Tamandua tetradactyla: one gene and its partner. The protein of the gene in region 1 interacts with the protein of each later gene in a biochemical or structural test. Links are inferred from orthologs where the notes say so. Each region holds a gene or a part of one and is shown on either strand. Other genes may lie near its edges.

Region 1 (7,478 bases):
CTTTTTGTCTGAGAACCATGTCTATTTTTATAACTCGAGTGTGAGTTCTGTATATTCTCACATTCTCTGTAACGTGTCCATTTTCTAGAGAACCCAGTAACTTTTATACAGGCTCTTCTTACCATCCCTTGTGGTTTCAGAACAAGCTTTATTTTATTACAAGGATACTAATGACAACTAATTCCTATTGCAAATCTACCTGCCAACTTTAGTTGTATAGGTAGTTTCATGTAATTCATTTGATTTCTCCTCCAGCAGTCAAAAGTAGCCCAAAAGATATTTTATGTAAGTTTACCTGACCTTCTCACTATTGAAGAATTTCTCCTCAGAAATTATTGGGGAAATTTGGGAAAGTCAGTCACAAGCAAGAGCAATTCATTATGAAAGCAAACTGAAGAAAACAGTATTAGTCTCAGTTTTTAGCCCAGGAAGTTTGGAGAAAATGTCTTCATGTCACCAATTTCTTTGTTGCATGAATTGTAGTGTTTCACTGTAAGACAGCATGAGGGGTTATCAGGTCAAGCTTTGTTATTGTATTTCCAATTCAATTTATCTTGAATGTCTGTCTCTTAAATTGTTTTTTGTCAGTTTCTTTCAACTAAGCCTTATTATTATTATTATTATATGGAATTTTTCAGAGAAAATTAAATCAGAGAAAATTTCCAAGGTCCTCTACCTTATTTGTCTTCTAATCCTTGTGTGTTCTGTGGAAAAGGAGCTGCATGGCCTCAATGCCTCCATAGAAAATGAAAGTTAAGTTCAGAGGACAGAATGAAATCATTTTTCCCCATTAGGTGGTGTGGCCTGAGTAGTGATTAAGCATCCCTCCTGCATGATTTTGCTCTAGTAACTTGTATAAAATGTGTTGGTAGTGGGTACATGGGTGGTTCAGTGGTAGAATGCTCACCTTCCATGCAGGAGACCCGAGTTTGATTTCCGGACCATGCATCTTCACCCCGCAAAAAAAAATATGTTGGTGGCCCTCGTTCAAGTTTTTAAGGGGAGAGGAGTCTTCTGAAGAGGAACACTTATTAATTCATTCTGTATTGAGTCGCCTATTTGAATGCACTGTGTGTGGCTTTATTCTAGGAGGCTTTTTGACTTAATTATAGTATTGTTCCCTATTGGCGTGTGTGTGGAATAGTCCATCCTGCTACTGCTAAAGTTATCTTTCCTTGAGTAAATTATGGAGCTAGAATGTTTATAGAGTTCATAAAATAATTGCTACGCCACTTTAGATTAAAAAGTAAATGATCCTCTCATAAAAACAAGTTTAGTAGAGGGCTTAATCCTTAAAAAGTCTTCATTTATAAACTGAAGACTGTTCTCTCTTCTTGCTCAGTACCCTGAATTAGCAGGTTTGGAACACTCAAGAATTTGGGTTCAATCACTTGGTAATAGTAATTCTACTTACTTTCTAACATTTTGGCTCTTTTTGACCAGGACAGTTGTAAATTAGATAAAATATCTTTATGCTTTATCCAAGAGGACTTGTTCATAAACACTTAGGTTCATAATTATAATTATTTTCTTTCTATTCCATAAAATGAGCATTACGATTGCACATTCCTTCTATTGTCTGAATTTATGTCAGAGATATAGCTTGCTTAAAATACATTTATATGTAAATTTATATTTTCTTAGAAACATGGATGTTTGCAACCATTGCTTTCAAAGAGATTATTACTGTGTATTTTCCTTGTCTTACAATATGTTTTCATGAAGACTGTGTTATACCAGAGGTTTTGGATAATGGTGGTGATAACCAGTTTTTGCTGCCTGTATGTACCAGAGATTTGTGTACTAATTTAAAAAAACAAATAAACTAAGAATAAAATGGAGTTTGCAAACAAAATTTCATTAATCCTCTCCACTTGCTTATCAGTTGAGGATTAATCAATAAAACCATTTACATTTAGTGAAAGTAAATTTCCTCAAGTGCTCTCCCTGGTAGCATGTTTTCTCTCCACTTGAAAGAGTGGAGATAAGAATTACTTAATTGCCACAGATATTTTGCTATTGATATTTCTAATGTAAGCGCAAAGTAGGTTATCTGTTTTAGAATTCATTGACTTAGTACTTCTTTGGAAATTATATATAAATGTGCAAACAATTAAGAACCTGAGGCTATAAGCTATATGACAAAAGTTTCTTATGCAAAAGCAAGCAACATTAACAAAAGACTCAGAAACATGTCTGCCCAAAAGTTAAGTAGGCTTCATTTCACATGTTTTGTATATCTAAATCATTAGCCCTGAATGTTTTCATTTGACTTCCAATTACATATTTCCAATCATTGATTGTTATTTTAATTGGTTTATCCCACCATTATGTTAAAATTAAAAATGTACAAACAACTCAGATTCTTTTGCTTCCAACTATTTCCCCTTTCCATTTACCCACTTTGTATCAGTGATATTGCCATTCAGCGTGTCTCTAGTTCACTCTTTTGAGGTGTAGTCTTCCTTTTCTTTAATTGTTCCCTTTATCCAAACTGTTTAGGGGAGTGCAGGCCTGTTGTCCCAGGATTGATTTGACAAATCTAAGAATTCCTAGCCTACCTCTGGAGTAAATTTACTACCCCTTAATTATTCAGCTGTGCTGTCTCATAATTTAGCTACACCTAAGCCAAAAGCATATGCAAAATGCAAACTTGCTGTGTTCCGAATAATGCAAAACAAGGTTTAAATAAATGAACAGTAGAACTAAGAATCATCTTATACTTTACAACAGAGATCCAGTTATTAAATTCAGATGCAGTTGGAGTAAGATACTTTAGCCAATTTAAAATAAAAAATTTAATAATTATGAAGTTGCAGTATAGCCTTTTCATTAATCACAATTATTCTTTGATTGTTTTTTCCCAATTGTTATTTATTAGTAAATTTTTACATAATTGTAATAATACAGTTGCTCTACTCATAATTGTAATAATACAGTTGCTCTACTCTTAACATTATTGCAACTGTCTTCGCACTTAACATGGAAATTTTGTTTCTCAATTATATTGCTTGCATATTATTCTGCTAGGCTATGGTGCCTGCTTAAACTTCTCCTTATTTCAGGATAATCACTTTTCTAATTCTTTATCTTTTATAAAGATATTAAAACATTAAAAAACATTTTGAATTCCTTAAGGAAATAAGAATAGAGTCTTTGGGAATGATTTTTTTTCTGATTTTGATACTTTCCACAAAATTGTCATCCCTCAACAACCAGTATTCATTGCTCCCAATTGCATGCATCTCTTCTTCTGTAATCTCAGTAACACTAAAAATTTTTAGAATTTTTAGCATTTCCAACTTAAAATAAGTATGAAATAGAACATCATGGCTGTTTTAATTTTTTTCTATGTTTAATTACTGAACATGTTTCCAAATGTTGGTTGTTTTTTTTCCTGTTTCTTCTTGTGTTCCTGATGTTCTCTGACTATCGGTACACTGGGAATATGATGATACAAATACAGCAAATGCTTCTTCCTAATCTAATGTCCTCTTCAGTTCAGAACTGACGAGGTATTCTAATTATAGGACATGCCCACAATAGAAGTATATCTAAAAAATATGAGTAGATACCTCTTCATCAATACCAAAGAAGCGCCTTCAGCATCCACTATTTACCAGGTACTATACTAAAGTCTGGGGATACATGGAAGAACAATACAGACAAGGTCCCTGCATTCACCGGCTCATTAAAGTTTAGTTTTGGCACAAAATACTTTAAACCTAACAAAGGCTTTCGGTCTCCGTACGGGGAATGTACTTAATCCCGCAACACTACACTAGAATGTGGGAATGGAGTTTCCACTTGGCTGCTCTTCTCACCATCAAGTTAGAAAACCTGTTCATTCCAATTTCCGGTCGGACTACAAGCTTTGAAATTAAGTCTTTGCAACACAGTACTGCCGGCTCGGGGCAGGACCCCAAACCTAGTCACCGATGGATTAGCAGGAGGAGAGCGCATCATTTTACGGTTCGATTCCACTCTGTGATTGTTTCTCTACGGGAGCGCTCCAAAATCGTCCGTCCGCGGGCACACTTCTAGCTCTTCCTCAAAACTCGCCCTCCCTCTTCAGCCCAGTTCTCAGAGGACTTTCTCTGCCTTTATAGGTCCCGCTCCCTTGGCTTGCCTTTCACATCGCCTAGGCCCCGACCTAACCTTTGGGATGCTTCTCCTAGGACTCCATCGTCCTCGAACTCCCGCCACCTCTTATTTCTCTCAAACTACCACCTACTAAGGCTCCGCTGGAACGCCCCTTCTCCGCCCCCGTGGTTTTAAGGTAGCAGCCTCTACAGGATTTGGGGTCATTGTTTTCTCCATTCTCCCAAAACGAGGCGCGACGACACACACACAGACTCTCCGGAGCCTGTTTTACGACAATGTGCGGCTGTGCGGCGCGGTTGACGGCAGCGCCGCGCTGCTCTTGGAGAGGTCACTCCGGAGACGGCGTTGGGTTTGGGGTGTCGGGGTCTCTGGCACCATGTGGAGCGTCTGTGCGCGCCGGGCACAGCGTGCGGCACCGAGGGCAGGATTTGGGGCTCGGTGCACAGCCTTGCGAGAGGGACCCGAAGCTCTGTGCACGACCCCACGGTTTGGCTGTGTCCCGGTCCGTTGCACCAGTGCGATCACAGAGTATGGCGGGGTCCGGGCGCTTTGCGGCTGGAGCCCCAGCTATTCGGCCACACCACGGAACCGCTTGTTGCTGCAGCTTTTGGCGTTGCCTGGCCGTCGCAGTTATAGTCTTCCCCCGCATCAGAAGGTGAGCCCCCAACCGGTCCATCGCGGTATTCCGTTGCCCTTCAAGACAGACTTCTTGGCCTTGGGATCCTCCCGCAGAGACCTCAGCGAATCCCTACCCTTTCCCAGTATCTGTCATCGTCCTTTCCCCAACTCTTGAGCTTTGCAGTATCTCTTGAGCTTCCCTTTCCTAGTTTATTCCATTGAAAAAAGAGCTCCAAGCCTGGGACTTTTTGCGAAGTATTTGCTGAGGTACGTGATCACTGAGAACGTGAACTTTGGCAGGAATTGTTTTTTATCCCTAGTGCCCAGCGTGTAATGGAACTAAATAAACTCTTTGCATTAAACTAATTACATTAAATCGAATTGAATAAAACAGTGAACCAGACTGAAAGTGAATACCCCCTTTTTAAAGCTATTGTTTCTTCTGTTCTCCTCCAGGTTCCATTGCCTTCTCTTTCCCCCACAATGCAGGCAGGAACCATAGCCCGCTGGGAAAAAAAAGAAGGGGAAAAAATCAATGAGGGTGATCTAATTGCAGAGGTAAGTTGTTTTAGATTATGGAGATGACTTTGAAGGAGCTGGCTTAACTATGCTGACTGAGCATTAACGTTCTGGGTGGGTGATTATCCACTTTGCTAAATAAACTGAGATTTTTTTTTTTTTTTTACGGTTTGACATTAGAGAAAATTAGTTAATTTTGTCAGCATCTAGCCAGACTGACTTTTGACTCAATGTCTTTCAATAATTCTTCTTTCAAATCTGTGGTTTATTTACCCTGTTGAACTGTATGATCCTGGACACGAGCTAATAAACATACTGGCTGCATGAATCTAAACTAATGCTTTTTGTGTTAAAAGGTTGAAACAGATAAAGCCACTGTTGGGTTTGAGAGCCTGGAAGAATGTTACATGGCAAAGATTCTTGTTGCTGAAGGTGCCAGAGATGTTCCAGTTGGAGCAATTATCTGTATTACAGTTGAAAAGTGAGTGGTACCTTGATAATTTGTGGAACTTTAGTGCTTGGTGGAGTATTTTAACCCAGTATTGAGAAATTAGGGCTTAAAAGCTTCTGAAGATTACTTGTATGGGAGCTGAATCTCCTTTATAACCTTTCATATTTATGCATTCTTTCTTTTCTTTAGGCCTGAGGATATTGACGCCTTTAAAAATTATACATTGGATTCCTCTGTAGCACCTCCCCCCCAAGCAGCCCCAGCATCAACCCCTGCTGCTGCTGCTTCGCCTCCTACACCTCCTACTCCTGTACCTTCTGCTCAGGCTCCTGGTAGCTCATATCCCACTCACATGCAGGTGAGGCTCAGCTTCTGAGTGTTTTCTGTAGAGAATTTTATTATTTATTCGTTATTTCTGATAGATAGCTATCACCTCCTAGAGCCACATTCAACATGGCTAGTTGTTGTCGTTTTGGGAGTAGAGATTTAAGCATGGAAGCACACAGCCTTTGTACCTGTTATTTTCAGTTCTGTGAGCTAGGACAGTGCCTTTAACTTTCTAAGTCTCAGTGTAGTAGAGTGGATGATGTGTAACACTTCTTATTCAAGAACATTGTTATGGATTTTGAAGATGATTTGTACTTCTATTTACTCCCCATATAAATAGGTTATTTAGTAGGGATCAAGTGCTGTCTGTTGAATAAAGGATCCACAGTTGGGTTTTCCTTTGATGAGTAATGTCTGTTTTCTAAGAGTAGGTGAAGTAATCCAATAGTATTAATAAATGAGAAAATAATAAAGAGAAATAAGTGTAGACTATATATAGTATATAATAGCATTACAACAAAGCTGAAGACAGGTGTAATCACTGTCGATTCTCATAACTAAATCAGTTTTTAAGAATGAAATTAGTTTCTTGGGTATTAGTTATTCCATGTATTTTTGTATGTTAAATGTTGAGAATGAATAAACACCAATTGTCTTTTCTGAAGGATTAAGATGAAAACTTTTCATTTAGTTTATTTGTAGAAATATCTGTATAGAAATTTTTTTCTCCTCTGGGCATCATTTTCTACTCCATGGAACAGAATAATATCTATTATTACCCATTGTTATGATGAAGTTTTGCCTGGTATTCAGTTCATAGATTTATTTCATCTTGTTCAACAAGCTGTCTCACTATATAGGACTTATTTAATTTCTCTCCATAATATGTTTAATTTTGTGTAGAAGTGTTAGGATTGTGCCTTAATTATGTAGAGATTTTTGGCTCCAATAATTTTTTAAAAAATATTTTTGAGAAATAGCCACACATGTATAGTCCGACCATATTATACAGTTAGTGGCTCATAATATCATCACATAGTTGTATATTCTTCACCATGATCATTTTCAGAACATTTGCATCACTCCAGAAAAAGAAATAAAAATAAAAAAAAGAACTCATGCATCCCATACTCCTAACCCCTCCCTCTCATTACCTACAATATTTCAGTCTACCCAGTTTTTACTCTTTATCACCCCCTATTATTTATTTATTTTTATCCTTATTTATTAATTTTTTTTACTCATCTGTCCATGCCTGCATAAAAAAAGCATCAGTCACAAGGTTTTCACAATCACACAGTCATATGGTAAAAGCTATATAGTTATATAGTCTTCTTCAAGAATCAAGGCTACTAGAACACAGTTCAACAGTTTCAGGTACTTCCCCTCTAGCCACTCCAATACACTGTAAACTAAAAAAAGATATCATTATAATGCATAAAATAACCACCAGAATGAT
Region 2 (7,995 bases), on another chromosome or scaffold:
AGTGATGCAAAATCTAAAAACAATCACGATGATAAATACATAACTATGCGATGATACTGTGAGCTACCAATTGTATACTTTGGATGGTCTGTATGGCATGCGAAGATATCACAATAAAAGTATTTTTAAAATATTAAAATATTAACTTAATGTTAAATTAAGAACTAAGATATTGTTGTTGTAAAAAACAACATCTTAGTTCTTAATTTAAATAAAACTAAGCCTGCAGCAGCTCACTGCTCCTCCCATTACGTATGCCGTACTTAGTTCACCCTGCCTTGGCAAGTTCTATTTTCCCCTGTGAGCTCACGGATTCCCTGAGGGCAGCTGCTGCCGTTTTCTTAGACCCAGCACACCGCAGGGCTCAGCTCAGGTCCCATGCTTGAATCCATGAAAGAAGTCACAGCATGCCATACAGCGTCCAGAAGACCTAGCAGAAGTTTTTACTAGGGTGTCACTAAAGGCCAAGGATTACAGTTATAGAGCGTTTAAACCCTTGTTCATTCTTCACGTGACCAGCCACTGGCTGAAGTTACTAGTTACTTAACCTTGCACAGAGTTCTGGAGTGAACTTGACTGAGGGCTTTCCCGTTACTGCTGCTACATGCAATAAACGTTTGGCCTTTGCCCCTTCAAAGCTACTTGGGGTAGGTTTCATGCCACCCCCCTGAACGTTTTCCACATTCAAAACAGTCTGATCTGTAGCTTAAATTGTAGAATTTGTTCATCTGGTAGAGATTTGCTTCTTCTTGTTTCTTTTTCACATAAAGCTGCCCCAGATAAATATTACCCAACAGGGTTAACACCAGCATGGGCTGGAGTTCCAGGACCAGGGCCTAATATGGGGCTTGGCTGTGAACACTGATTTCCCAGGTAGATCGTGGGCTTCTAGAGGAAGGAGGAGAGTATGGGTCGGGCTGGCTGCAGACTCTGGAGGCCGGGAACATGATCTCAGCCCCCCGCTTTGGCCTATGATTCCTATGTGGCCTCAGGCAAGCCTTCAGCCTTTCTGAGCCCCTGTGCCTCCCCTCTGTCCCCAGCTTGGAGACTCCATCCCTGAGCCCGGGACGCGTGGGCAGGGGTCTCACCAGCTCTGCACCAGCTGCACCGAGGGTGTGCTCAGCACCCGGTCGGGAAGCAGATTGATCTCCTTCATGATGTTGGCCAGGCGCACGGGCAGCTCCTGCCTGAGGAAGGTAAAGGACGTCTTCTCACAGGCATTGCTGGACCCTAGAGGTGGGACACAGGGGTGAGTCCACAGGACTACAAACCATCTATGATGGCTTGGGGTCAGCTCAGCTAAACCCTTCATTTACTGAGGGTTCAGAGGTCAAGTGACCTGCCTAAGGGCAGACCACAAGGCAGCTCACCTCGCTTCCTTTAGTGCCCAAACATCTGCACCACCCTGCCTACCATTCAGCTCCCTGCATGAATGCACACCCCTGAGGCAAGCAGAGCCTGAAGGTGGGAGCCCAAATACCTGAGTCCTCAGTCTGGCTTGAGGGGTAGAAGATCCCCTGAATAAGAACATGGCCTGGAGTCAAGAGACCTGGTTGCTCGCCCAGGCTCCACTTCCAACTCTGTCACCCAGGGCATAGCACCCTCCTTCTTGAAGGTTGCAGTTCTCCCCATGGTACTACTTGTGAGCCCAGCTCTCCTGGGAGCCCCTCCCAACTGTGACATTTCAGTGACTGGGGTCCAGTCTGGGCTGGGCAGCTGTTGAGGGTGAGGAACGGCCCACGTGGGGGGACGCTCAAGACTGAAACAGGACAGAGGGGCAGGTAGCGCAGTCCTGGGGAACAGGTTTCCTGTGTCCTTGCTGCCACCTCCCCACCCCTTCCCATCAGCGAGGTAGCTGTAACCTGAGCCAGGCACTATCTTCTAAACTGTTTACCGACCTGGGCAGCCCCTCCCAATCGCCAGCTGGCACCACGGAAATGCCATGTGGACAGACAGAGCCCACACAATGCCTGCTTCAGCCGCCGCGTTGGCACAGTCTTGCTCCTGCCCCAGAGCTACCCCCTGGATGCCAGCGGTGGGCAATCCTGGCTCAGGAATCCAGGGGCAGCCAAGGATGGGTACAAGCAGCCTGACTGCACCTCATGGTGCCTCGGGCCCCTGTCCAGAGGGGGACAGACTGCCAGGCCCAGGCAGATTTGATCTTCAAGTGTCCTTGCCTGCTGGGGTAGCCAGGGAAGCAGCTCCTTCAGTGAATGGAGGTACACTGGTCAGGGCCCTCCCCCTGGGTTGGCATCATCTTCTGAGAGGGGCCCCATCCCTAACTGCCATTGCTTTCTCTCACTCTCTGCCCAGGAGTCTCTGATCCTACCATATGCAGGCTCCTTCCAGATGCCTGCACCTCTCCAACCGGCCCTAGTACTCCCACCAACACCCTCCACCCCACCCCCATTAACCTTTCTGTGCCTGGGTATCACTCTGCTCCCTTTCTGCCCAAATAGCCCCCCCCACTACCCCTCATTTCCCCAGGCCGCCCATAAAGCCCAGGAAGGAAACTTGGACCCCTCTTTCTCAGTGCTCCCATTCAGACACTTCCCATTAACAGTTCAGTCGCGTTTCTCTTCAGTTAGGGTTCCCTTAACCCTCTCAGGCCCAGGGCTTTGCTTTTCTCCGTTAACCCTTTCCTGCCTGTATTCTTCCTAGCAAACCTTCCCTGTCACCCAGGGCCTATCTTCTTCCCCTACTCCGTCATTGGCAGGACACCTTCATTTACCCGGACCACGCCCGGCTGCCCCTCCTCCCAGCCCCCCGCGGGTCCCCGCTGGCCCCCGCGGTCAGCCGCTTCACGCCCGCTCCGTACCGAAGTCCAGAAACTGCTTCATGGACAACGGGGACGGGGAGAACTTGCTAAAGTGCTCGATGTACTTGGGCGCCCCTGCCAGGGACGCATTCTTCAGCAGCGCTCGAACCCAGCGCATGGCGGCGACGGCGGCCGCACCTCGGGCTCGGGCTCCGGTCCCCGCGCGGGCGGTACTCACGCTCGGCTTGGCCCAGCCCGGCCCAGCCCGGTCCCGCGACGCGGTTCCGCCACCGCCTCCCCCAACCCGACCCTGGCGGGGGCCTCCCAGCCCCGGCCAATCGGCTCGTCGCGGCGCCCAGGCGTCGCCAATGGGCCGCGCACAAACAAGTCCGGGAGAACCAATAGCCTTTTGCTCCGGCACGTGGCTTCGCCCTGGGCCCGCCTCCTTAACCCCGTCTTGGCCCCCCGCGAGCCGTTGTTTTCCCGAGGCGGCGCCGACCTCCCTTGGGCAGCCTTTTCTCTCTTCGCTCGCCTCCCGGGGCGTGGCCCGAGTTAACCCCGGCCTCCCCAGAGGTCCGTGAGTTCCCTCCCCTCCTCTTCCCCGGCCCTCTGCCCACATCTCCCTCACTTGCTGGCTCCTTCACTGGTGTGGTCCAGGTAGCTTTCCATGAATGCCCCCAAGGTACCCGTTTCACCTGTCTCGCGCCCTTCCTGCTCTCCCTGAGTGTCTCGTGGGCCTCCAGTCCGGATCCCGACTCTCCCCAACCCTCCAGCAACCAGTCTCCTCGGACGGTTTCAGTGACAGTGAGCCAGGCTGTGACTATTTGCAAAATTCGGAATCGGGATTCAAGCCTGTATTAATCCCTCAAGTATTGGTGCAGCCCCCCACTTCTACAAAGATCCAAGTGACTCGGGAAAGGACGGCATTTTACGTTTCCAGGTGAAACTCAACACCCAGAGTCAAAGCCCTAAAAGACTAGCGGCGGCGGCGACACAAACATCAGTGCTTGGAGCGCAGTTTCCCAGACCCTCTCATCTTCATTGTTCTCTCGCTCATTTGACTAAACGTGAATCCTTGGATATCTAGCACGACCAACTGAGAAAGCAACATCGGCTTCCCAGGAGGGAGGTCCCGGGAGGCGACTTGCCCGGAGTCAGGGCGGGAGCGGGAGAGGGGGCCGGGATGGGGTCGGTGCTGGGTGGTGCCCTCTCCCGGCCCTCCCCCCTTTCCCAGCAGCCCGCCGGTCTCGTAGGAACGTAGCGCGCCCTCTTGTGGTCAAACATGGTATGTCCTGTCCCCGGCGGAGAGGCCGACTCAAACCTTTCTTGCCAGCTGTCTTTGATGCTTCAGTGGTTGGCTCACACTTAGCAAGTGCCTAATGTGTGCCAGGCTTTGTGCTGGGAACTGGAAACACAAACAGGATGGAGACACGGTCTTTTCCCCCAGCACGTCATTGTTCACTTTGGGAGATAGCTGCCTAAGTAAATAAAAGAGTTACACAGTCCTATTAGAACCAACACTAATAGGACTCTCAGCTGAATGAAGAATAGTCTATGTGCCAGGCACTGTCTGCACGCATTATCTCATTTAATTCTCAAGGCAACTTATTGGACGATTATTGTCCACATTTGATAGATGAGGAAACAGGCGCAAGGGTCATTCTTAATGGCAACTCTGACCGTGTTACTTCCCTACTCCCAGCTTTTCAACTGCTCCACTCCTTATTGGAGTGTGATGGTTTGAAGCTGTATGTACCCCCATAAAAGTGTATTTTAAAGCTAAGCCATTCCAGTGGGTGTGAACCCATTGTAAGTAGGATTTTTTGGTGAGTTGGATCTTAAGATGTCACCCACCTCATTTAGAATGCGTCTTAGTCCTCTTATTGGAGTCCTTTATAAAAGAATGAAATTCATACAAAGAGAGAGAAAGCCACAAAAGCAAGAAGCTGAAAACAACAAAACTGGAAAGAGAAGGGAGAGGCCAGCAGAGGCCACCATGTGCCTTGCTGTGTGACAGAAGAATACAGGATCTCCAGCAGCCAGTCTTCAGGAAGAAGGTATCATCTTGATGATGCCTTGATTTGGACATGTCCAGGACCTCAGAACTGTGAGCTTGTAAGCTAATAAACTCCCATTACTAAAAGCCAACCCATCTTATGGTAACTGCTTTTGGCAGCCTAGCTAACTAGAACACAGAGCCTTTTCAGCTCTTACATGATCTGCTTTAGCTTAACTCCTCAGCCTCATCTCTCCACATTCCCCTGCTCAAATCCCAGCCATGCTTCATCATCTGTTGCCTTAAGTACGATTGCCAATGAAGCCTCTGGTCTCCAAGCTGTGGCACATGCTGTCTCTTCTGCTTGGATCCTTCTTTCTTTGCACCTTTAGCTACCCATTCTTCAGGTCTCAGCTACTTTGTCACTCCTTCCTCCAGGAAGCCTTCCCTGACCCTACCAGGCTGGGTTCTGGGATTCCTCTAAGCCCTCCTGAGAACTGCTGTCCTTAGCACTAATTTAGCTCTTATCACCATCACATTGGGTGGTGATTACTTGTTGATGCATCTATCTCCCCCACTAGACTTTAAGCTCCATGAGGGCAGGGGCTCAGCCTGTCTTATTCATTGCTCCATCTCCAGCCCCAAGCACAGTACCTGGCATGCAATAGGAAGGAAAGAGCAGAAAGAAAAGATGGGGTTGGCAGGAGTCATGCCCGGGATCAGGTGAGGACCACCACGCATCCATCAGGTTGGTGAGTGCCGTTTTCAAGTTGCCCAGAAAAGTACATGGGATACTACATGCAAAAAGCCTGGCCCCGTCCCTGCTACACAGTAAATAATCAACTGTTACTTTTATTTTCAAAATTAAAGGAAAAGGCCATGACCTCTGAGGCTGGGTGCAGGAGAGGAAAATAGATTTCCCATTATCCTCACCTTAGAGCCAGACTTCCATAATGTGGATTCTGTGCTGGGGGAAATGTTCCTTCTGCAGAGATTGCTGCAGTTGGTAATGGGAATGGTGTGTTGTGTTGTATCTGTCGAGTTAGGTCAGTGATGCTGAGGTAACAATAATCCCCAAACTCCCAGTAACTTAGAAAAACAAAAGTTTATTTCCCACTATATGATAATATGGGTTGGTGGAGGACTCTCAGGGACTCAGAATGACAGACGCTTTATCTCAGCACACACTTTCACAGCAGTACATGCAGGGAAAGGGAACTGGGAACTTCTCACACCTGCAATTAAATATTTCAGCTCAAAAGTGAGCCACTTCCTTCCTGCTCACAACTCATTGGCCAGAATTAGTCACATGCCCTCAGCCCAACAGGACAGCCCAGGAAGTGCACGCCTGCCAGGTGCCAAGAAAGGGGAGAATCAACTTGATTGCCCCTTTTAGTGATGCCCAAGCCAAGACCCTCTTCTGGAGCAGAGTTTGGAGGCGCTGCAGTTCCATGGCGCTCAAGAAGCTTGGCACTTTAGAGGATTGAATTCTTGTGGGCAGAGCAGCATCTCTGCTAACTGTATTTCTTTCATCAAAGTGTGGCTGCATCACCCATGAAAATGGCTACTTGTTCTCAGGACTGTGTGTTCTGCAAGCAGCCACTCTTAGGAGACTGAGGCTGGGACTGTGGAGCTGGCCGGAGGTATGTGTAGATCCTGCCTTTTTCTTAAGCAGAAAGTGACCGTAAAGAACGGGGTTGAGCTGGGCTCACCTATGCTTAATATGAACTGAGCTTTGACAACCCACTTGTGGTGTTATTCCCTACCGAATGAATAACCCAGATTCTGGGAAACAAACTGAGGCCTCAGATCATTGGGTTCTAAGAGCTTGGCATCTTTGGGTAGGGGCTGGGGTTTTCCTGAAGGAAGTGGATACCCCACTTCCAGTCATTCTAGGAAGGGGCAAATCCAAGCACAGAAAGTGAGGAGAGGGGAGGTGCACTGGGCCCAGGACGTTATTGTGAGGCAGGTCCTGTTGGAGGGGGTGGAGGGCAGACAGGTGTCACAGAGAAGCAGACTGGGAGATCCCCAGGCAGCAGCCGGCATCTGTGGAATCTGAGAGTAGCTGAACCTGGGCTCCACCTCTAGTCTTCCCTGCGTAGTAATTTCAAGTCTTAAGGGAAATTAACAGAAGGACCCATACCACAATTTAGGACAAAGAAGTGACAGGGAAAGCAGTGTTGCTCCACTCCCCCAGGCTGCATGGTGGATCCAACCTTGGCACAGAGGAGGAAGCAGCTCCAGGAGCCACAGGAAGCAGTAAAAGCAAAGCCAGGGTTAGATCCAAATGATGAACAACCTACAGGCTGGGGATATAACTGTAAGAGCTGGTGCAAGGCTAACCCCAGAGGGAAGGGAGCTGTGCAGAGGGGCCTAGTCCTGCTGCTCTGTGTGCGGTACCACAGGCCAGCAGATGCATGGGCTACATTAGCTTAGCATTGAAATACTCCTGGAAAAGCCTCCAAAAGACTAGGGCTCCAGAGGCTGTGCAATGGACACTATGACCTTTGGTCTTTTCAGCCTTGGGTCATGGGTTTACTTTCTGACCTACTCACCATGGTGCATAGGGGTAGAAGTGGGGAAACTAAGGTGGGAAAGAAGGGTCTTAACTGAATTCAGAATTCACTGGAAGAAAATTCTCTTCTCTCAACCCTTGTGCCCAGCTTTCCTCCGCTATCCAGCACTACCTGTTTCTATAGCAAAGTAGCTTTCTGCCTCTTTCCTATTCTGCAGAAGACAAGCTCTATCCCTGCTCCCCTCCCCAAGGCCAGCCCCACTGTCCTCCAGGAAACCCTTCTGGATTCCATCTAGCCTACTCAGGTCTTCTGCCCTCATTCCATGTTTGGGGTCTCAGTTTTGTGCCTATGATTATCCCCTAGACTGGTGCAGCCCTGAGAGCAGGAACTGGTGTCTCCTCCATAGACCTCCCCTTTCCCAGTCTCCAAGACCCCAGCACCTGGTTTTGCCCACCTAGGGGTTAACTAAGTAACACTACTATTTGCCAGCTATTCAAAATGAGCTGGGCTGGCAGGAAGGGAGGCTGTGGATGGAGGAAGGTGCAGCTTGTACAAACTGGGGGCTGTTTATTGGTTGCCATGAGAAGCCTACATACAAAGAAGGCACAAGGACAGGGGAGGGCGCTCCCCTGCTACAGTACCATGGAAGGGGGTAGGGGCTGGGAAATGGGTCTGCCAACAGGCAGGGGTCAGGAGAGGTTTTCTAGAACCCACCTCAACTTCTA

The links. The genes of interacting proteins can lie anywhere in the genome.
Region 2: the proteins of DLAT (region 1) and PDK2 form a complex in vitro, tested with the Homo sapiens proteins (2 studies listed by BioGRID). The link is inferred for Tamandua tetradactyla from reciprocal best matches to the Homo sapiens genes DLAT and PDK2.

Annotation. Positions count from the first base shown.
Region 1 is NC_135334.1:29,233,127-29,240,604, reverse strand, and holds the start of DLAT (dihydrolipoyllysine-residue acetyltransferase component of pyruvate dehydrogenase complex, mitochondrial), read left to right. Parts: upstream 1-4,408; 5' UTR 4,409-4,480; coding exon 4,481-4,759; intron 4,760-5,178; coding exon 5,179-5,280; intron 5,281-5,597; coding exon 5,598-5,722; intron 5,723-5,881; coding exon 5,882-6,050; intron 6,051-7,478.
Region 2 is NC_135332.1:31,238,496-31,246,490, reverse strand, and holds the start of PDK2 (pyruvate dehydrogenase kinase, isozyme 2), read right to left. Parts: upstream 3,048-7,995; 5' UTR 2,937-3,047; coding exon 2,819-2,936; intron 2,137-2,818; exon of another isoform or gene 1,945-2,136; coding exon of another isoform or gene 1,899-1,944; intron 1,667-1,898; exon of another isoform or gene 1,481-1,666; intron 1,231-1,480; coding exon 1,089-1,230; intron 1-1,088. UniProt on the Homo sapiens protein: Kinase that plays a key role in the regulation of glucose and fatty acid metabolism and homeostasis via phosphorylation of the pyruvate dehydrogenase subunits PDHA1 and PDHA2.